Linked DNA regions of Bombyx mori. The protein of the gene in region 1 purifies or fractionates together with the protein of each later gene. This does not show direct contact. Links are inferred from orthologs where the notes say so. Each region holds a gene or a part of one and is shown on either strand. Other genes may lie near its edges.

Region 1 (4,024 bases):
CAACTGATCCAACTGTTCAAACTGTTCCAGCTGTTCCACAATATTCCATATGTTGCGTTGTTCCGTTCCACAGCAAACAGCCAGAAACGAAACTGTTTGGAACAAGCTCTTTTTTCTTTTCCCGTATAGAAATAGAAAAAGATGGCATATACATCATGTTCCCAAACTGTTTGTATCATGCTCTTTTCTCCTTTCACTTATTGTAATAGAAAAAAAAATAGCAATAACATTAACATGCATGCATATTCCCCTTTGGTATTAGTAAATACATTCGGATACACGCATAAATTATTATATACAATAATAAATGTACTCTGTTATATTATATATCATTTAAAATATGGTATTATTTGTAATGTCTTGCTTAAAATTTGAAGATAATATACTTTTAAAATGATTAATAGACAGTTGTTATTATGGTGGTAAAAATATTTAATTGAGTTAAAAGGCCTAGCATGTATCCGAACGCTTACTAAGTCCAAACTTCTGAACTTGTCTATTCTGTTTTAGGTCTGGCATGCTTATATGGGCTATATGTTTTAATTTAAATACATTTTGGCAAAACTAGTTTCACATATTATTAATATTAATAAACCAAGTTGTCAGTCCTAAGCCTGAGAAAGCATGAAGGATTATTTACATTTAAAAAAATGTATTGAAACCATTCCATATGTGTGACTGTTCCTTTATGTGGAATATATTCTACTTTATTTATATATTTAGTGTTTAGATGGGTGGATGGGCTCACAGCCCACCTGGTGTTAAATGGTTACTGGAGCCCATAGACATCTTGATATAAAGGTTCTAAGGTCTCAGGTACAACGGCTGCTCCACCCTTCAAACATTATTAAGCCTGTTGTAACACAACAAGCTGTTATATTGGAACAGGCTACTGGAACTGTTCTTTCAATGGAACAGGAACAGGTGGAACAGGTCTCTGATTTCATCTGTTACAGACCATCCCTACTTACATTACCATAAACTTTATTTTTTGTTGGTTGTATTGGTCCCATGGATACCAAGAGGTATAAAATATACATTGGCCCTTTTAAAACTATAGATGTGCACCATTTACTATGAACAGAACATTCTGATTTGTAATAACATTTTAGATCAAATTATTTTTTGGCGAGCATGCGAGCAATGAATTAATTATTGTAAGGTCATCACCCTCTTTACATTTTTAATGCCATATTTGATTCCAAGATTATATTTTTGCCGTGACAGATTTCTTTTAAATAGCCTATGTTTTCTTGGCCTTTCAATGGACGAATGAAAAAATACAAAAATGTCAAATAGACCAATGTGTCATTTAGTTGCCAATGCTACCATTAGATCAAACGTCAAAATAATGCACCGCGTGTGTTTTTTGGTTTTGCAGCGATTTGTTTTCTTTGGTAGTTTCAGTAATTCCGTATCTTAAATTTTACATGACACATTAAAGATAAAATTATCATATTTATTACAGTAAAATGGCTTGCATAGATTTGGAAGGTATACTTAATAAATTCAACAGTTACACTGATAAACCAGTAAAATTTTTGTCTGTGCAAAAAGAGTTGAAAGAGGACCTAAAAAGGTTTGTAAAATCGGTATACGATTACACGAAATCTCAGGAGAAGAGCGATAAGAAGAAGAAGAGTGGGGCCTTAAAGGAATTAATTGTGGAAGATTTTGATGAGGAGCAGATATGGCAACAGATAGAGCTGCAGAACTCCCAACGCTGGGACCAGATAGTGTGGGAGGTGGCCAACTCTATGAGCGCAAATAACGAATTAGTATTTCCCATAAAAGTTGCTAAAGAAAAACCCAAGGAGATCTTACCTCATGGTGTTGAACCTATGGTAGAAGATGATGGAGAAAAAGTATCTGAGAATATTGAACTTGAGCATGGCAGATCTCAACGAGTTCAAAGTGATGTACCAAAAAAGAAAACCAGGCCTTCGCAGGTGGATGACAAGTTTTTCAAACTTTCCGAAATGGAAGAGTTTTTATTGAAAGAAGAAAAAAAACAAACAAATAGAACCAAAGGTGATCGTGACAGTGATGAGGAGTCTATAGATTTCTTCGAAGATGACAATGAGGAGGAGGAAGATGAAAATGTCATGTATAATGACTTTTTTGATCAAGATGGTGCTGAAGATGGGGACTATGATATGGACCAGGAAATAGATGATTCAGTTGAAGATGAAGAAGAGGAGGTTACAGAGCAGTCAAATAAAAAAAAGCAAGTCCGATTCTCACAACCATCTATTGATGATTCAGATGACAATTCAGTTGATAGTAACAAAAATAATAAAGTAAATAGTAAAACAATTGAAGAAAAACAGTCTGAGTTTGAGCAACGCCAGCAAAGACTAAAACAACACATTCAACGACTAGAGGAAAAGACTTTGAAAGAAGCCTCTTGGCAACTCAAAGGTGAAGTGGATGCATCGAAACGTCCTCAAAACTCACTTCTTCAAGAAGTTGTGGATTTTGATTTAACAACACGTCCAGCTCCAATTATAACTGAACAGACCACAGTTTCTTTAGAAGACATAATTAAACGTAGAATCAAAGATAAAGCTTGGGATGATGTTGTTAAAAAAGAAAAGCCAGTTGATGACCAACTGGCATTCCGAAAGAAGGAAATTCTAGATCATTCAAAGAGCAAGCTAAGCTTAGCTCAAGTCTATGAGGCGGAGTACTTAAAACAGAAACAGGCAGCATCAGGAGAGATTGTAGAAGAAAAAGAACCAGAAGCACATAAAGAAATTCGAGAAGCCATGTCACAGTTATTCTCAAAATTAGATGCACTGAGTCATTATCACTACACACCGAAAGCTGTACAGCCTGAAGTGACAATTGTATCAAATACTCCAGCAATATCGATGGAGGAGGTGGCTCCAGTAGCTACCAGTGATGCAGCGCTATTGGCTCCCGAAGAAATTAAGAGAAAACAGAAAGGAGATCTTATTAGCAAAGAAGAGAGAACAAAGACAGACAAAAATAGAGAAAGAAGGAAAAAGAAGAAATTGCAGAAGAAAAAAGGACAGGTTACAAAAGTAACAGACAGCAGGAATACTACAAAGAGTGTAGAAGTCAGTGACAAATCAGTGAAGACTTCAAAAGCATTCTTTGAGCAGTTAAATGATAACACCAAGAGCTTGATTAAGAAAAATAAATTAATTAAGAATAAGGGACAATAAAATATTTTTGGCTTGTCAATTTTTTGTATTTGTTGGAACATACCATGGGTATTTATGAGGAATTAGAGCTACTATGTTTTATTCATTGCCATTGCAGGCAGGCAGTGGTAAAATATCACTTTAATCATGGATATCAGCAACAGCCTGCAGTCTACTTTTTTTATGTAACAGGAATACAGGAATACAATACAGGTTGCAGAGAAATAATGAAAGGGTCTGATATATATATATAATGCTGCTAATGATAGTGATTATTAACTTTACCATGATTAGTGGTGCTAGGGAAAATTAAGAACCCTGGGTGTTGATAGGTTTGAGGCATTAGGTACTATCATCTTGTCTATTTCTGCTGATAAAATATATTTTATGCTGTCATTTTTAGGGCTCATCCTGTTTTATATCTTATATATCATTGTAATGAAATACGTACTCAACAAATGTTCATGATTGACTTCCACGCTGAAGGAATAACATTGTGTAATAAAAATGAAACCCGCAAAATTATAATTTGCGTAATTACGGGTGGTAGGACTTCTTGTGAGTCCGCGCGAGTGGGTACCACCGCCCTGCCTATTTCTGCCGTGAAGCAGTAATGCGTTTCGGTTTGAAGGGTGGGGCAGCCATTGTAACTATACTGAGACCTTAAAACTTATATCTCAAGGTGGATGGCGCATTTACGTTGTAGATGTCTATGGGCTCCAGTAACCACTTAACATCAGGTGGGCTGTAAGCTCGTCCAACCATCTAAGCAATAAATAAAAAAAGGTTTAAAAAACCAATCACTTGAAATTGGAACGGCTTAGAACGGCAGGCTACATGTGACTAGGAGATGT
Region 2 (3,553 bases), on another chromosome or scaffold:
ATAGGCAGGAAAACAACACAAACGTATTTTTAAAAGTCAAACTTCGGAACTGCGGAAATAAAGTTAGCAACTTTTGTGACAGCTTGGAAGTTAGAGTATCTAGTGGGGTCATAGATTATCTAATTGAGATTTGCTGCAAACATTTTATGGTTCTGAGATTGCAAATAATGAAACTCAAAGCAGATCATTATAAATCAAACCCAGAAAATTATAATTTGCATAATTACTGGTGGTAGGTAGGATGTCTTAGATTTTGTTGTATTTCAACAAATATTGTAAATTTTTATAGCTTATGATCAAAATGGTTACAATACAGATCATATTTAAAGTAAACCATCAACACTGGTAGATCCTGTATTAAATGAAGTTTACCTTAAGATCATTGAAGTTACACTTTAAACAAGTTATATTGGTGGAATACTATACATAGAGCACAAAGGAATGTATGTATTTTATGATTCTTTGAAAGGAAAGAATCATTTATCTATATTTTAAATAAAAATGACTTCAAGGCGAAATAAAAATTTAAACTAAAATAGTGTGCATTAAAAAGTGTATTGGTACTTTCACTTGTTGTTGTGGTAACAGTACAGAATCTTAAAATAAGTATTCTTATATAACTAAAGCCTTATATAAAATTATAACATATCGAAGTCATCTCTCTGTAAAAGAAAAAAAAAGAAATATTAGTTTAAGTTTCTTCCGTTTTATCTATGCAAACACATCCATGTCTTTGTTAATGACAATGTTATAAATAATTGATCCCTATATAATGTTTTCATTTTTTTTTAATTTCATATCAAAACCAGTGTGACATTATGCTGTGGACAAGTTCTAAAATTTATTTAATGCATTACTGCTTTCCATTTAACAAAAGTTGTTTTTCACAACTATTCTAAACCTCTACGCAGAGCTTTTTCACAATTATATTATCAATATGTAAGTAAACTTAGAAATATGAATAAACATTAAAAAGTTTAATGAATGTGTATTGTGTATACTAACCATTTCATTATATTCCAGAACATGTTTTCTTATTGCTGAACCATCAACCCATGTAACAAAGTCCTCCAGTGATCTGTTGACAAGGAATGCAGGATCCTTCACTACTTCAGGTCCCACTCTTACATGTCCTTGTTCAATAAACTTTGTGGCTTCTTTAATAGTTTCTGACATTTTATCTGTGCATTTATAAACATCAATAATTATAAATGACATTTATTAATAAAAATGCAAATTCCAAGAAATATGTTATTGTAATGTTTATTGAAACAAGTGATACTCACTTCGAACCATCAACACAGGCAGCCTTCGCCTACAGAAAGAACTGGCAGAGACATTAGTGGCCAAGGCAAGATCCCATCTTGTCGGTATCAATCCAATTTGGTAAAGTTTTTCCAAAAGTTGAGCACTTGACTCTGTCCTGAATTCATTATTTGGATCGAGGTCTTTTATCTTGTTTGCGAGCTCTCTGATATCACGAGACAATTTGTTATACCTAACAATTCACACAATAATAGTTTTAGATTTATTATTAATTGTATTTTACATCAATTAATGGACAGTTTATATCTAAAGCGGCCAAATTCCCGCTTTCTGTGGAACCCTCCTGTAGAACCAGTTGTAAATTTAGGATACTAAAGTAAAATATTTGACTCAAATACGACTTCAGTGTGCTGAATTTAGAATTTAGGCATAACGACCGATATTCCCTATTAACAAAGTCTCAGACATTTCATTTAAATAAAACTGGCTGTCTCATAATATAATACATAGCTCATAATTGCAAAATTGCCTTACTTTGTGTAATCCTCACGCTTTTGTATACAAAACTTTTTCATAACCTTCACTTCACTAATATTGTTATCCAACTTCCATGATATAAAGTCTACTTTCTTTAGCAGTTTCCCTTCATGAAATTTAAGTTTTCTGACCATTTTGGGAACACCGAGCACAAGGATATAGGTTATGTAGTGTTTCTGCTTATATAAAAAATAATAATAAAATAAAAAATGTAACAGAACATTGATTATAAAGTCGTTTGTCAAAACCAATGAAGTAGGAAACCTATGGAAATGAAACGTCAACCAAAATTTCGTGCCCCTGTGACGTCATCTGGCCACAAAACATGGCGGCTTTAGTGCTGTACAAAAGATTTCAATGTTATCAGGTTTTATCGATAAACGTTCTTGGCTCATTTTATTTTAAATATTGTTGAGTATTATTTATTTGTAGAATTTATACTTTAATGGGAAGTAAGTAGGTATATTGTTATGTGCAAATATGATATGATTTAGATGGGTGAAATCTAAGACAAGTTCGTCCTTCGAATTTGCCAAGTAAACGATATGATGATTTTTAAAAGTTGCTACATTGATTTTATAAAGTTGTCGTTTGTCGCAAAACATAAAGATATGGCGTAGTTCAAAGCCATCAGCCCATTTCTAGCATGCTAAATGTTATCGTATTTTGAGTTGTGTTTTTCTTAGGCTATAACAATCTATTTTAATTGTTTTGCTGACTCTAAAGTCCGTAACATACTACCGCAGCGCACCCCAAGGAAGGTGCGCCGCACCATTTGAATCACTTTCGCTTGAGAGTGATTCAAATTTTAAACTTATCAAGGGACCGCGTGAAAAAAAAAACACCTACAGAACATTTATTCATTAATTACAAACGTCATTCCTTGTGACTTCCTCTCTAGAATCACTTAATTATGAAATATTTAACAAATTTACAATAGTGTTTTCCTCACTGCGGAATAAAACTATTTTATTTAAATAGTTCCGAAGAGATTTTGTCGGTAGCCTTTTTCCCGAAATATCTAAACAGAATGTCTAAATATGTTTTGATGACATATTTTAAAGTGGTATTTATGATTAGTGTCATGATCAATAGATTCCGACCGAAAAATGGATTTTTCGGATGAGGGCTCCATAATGAATTTAAATACATATAGATAATAGTTTTAGGGCATCGACTTTCTTGAGATCCTATAAAATACGTTTTAATTATTATTTTTGTATGTTTTAAGCATGATAAATTATGAAATTTTATATAATCAATCATATTAAATCGATATCAAAGTCAATAAATAATGTACAACCCAAAACAGACGGCCGAACTGACGTGACAATGACATTTGGCGCGCTAAACATGGCGGATTTTCGGCCTCATTAGACGGAGACGGAGATATTTACGTATATTCATGTTTCATTTTATGTACGCACTGAAATACTGTTATATTGTTTTCCTGCGAGTTAAAGTGCTGAGTAAGAACGAGATAGATATATGTTTATGTATGTGCCTTCAAAATGGGTGCTATTTATATAAGCAATTGTACGTATAGAACAATATGTCGTGTCCCTACTATATAGGTCTATGGTCAAAACTGAGTGGTTCTACGCGCTGGAAAGGCGAAGGTATCAGACCATACTCGCCATCTTTTAAATTTTTTGTTAAATAAAATATACAAGAGTGGAGAATTATATTATTATGTATGAAATGAAGCGAGTTTATTTATTTGGGACTATAATGAATTGTGATGAAATGA

What was found.
Region 2: the proteins of U3 small nucleolar ribonucleoprotein protein MPP10 (region 1) and U3 small nucleolar ribonucleoprotein protein IMP3 purify together in Homo sapiens (affinity purification with mass spectrometry; 4 studies listed by BioGRID and IntAct, with this or other methods). This does not show direct contact. The link is inferred for Bombyx mori from reciprocal best matches to the Homo sapiens genes MPHOSPH10 and IMP3.

The regions. Positions count from the first base shown.
Region 1 is NC_085133.1:369,143-373,166, reverse strand, and holds U3 small nucleolar ribonucleoprotein protein MPP10, read left to right. Parts: upstream 1-1,309; 5' UTR 1,310-1,472; coding exon 1,473-3,191; 3' UTR 3,192-3,210; downstream 3,211-4,024. UniProt on the Homo sapiens protein: Component of the 60-80S U3 small nucleolar ribonucleoprotein (U3 snoRNP). Required for the early cleavages during pre-18S ribosomal RNA processing. Part of the small subunit (SSU) processome, first precursor of the small eukaryotic ribosomal subunit.
Region 2 is NC_085121.1:982,541-986,093, forward strand, and holds U3 small nucleolar ribonucleoprotein protein IMP3, read right to left. Parts: upstream 1,938-3,553; coding exon 1,801-1,937; intron 1,499-1,800; coding exon 1,287-1,498; intron 1,248-1,286; exon of another isoform or gene 1,182-1,247; coding exon 1,006-1,181; intron 940-1,005; exon of another isoform or gene 810-939; intron 663-809; coding exon 639-662; 3' UTR 540-638; downstream 1-539. UniProt on the Homo sapiens protein: Component of the 60-80S U3 small nucleolar ribonucleoprotein (U3 snoRNP). Required for the early cleavages during pre-18S ribosomal RNA processing. Part of the small subunit (SSU) processome, first precursor of the small eukaryotic ribosomal subunit.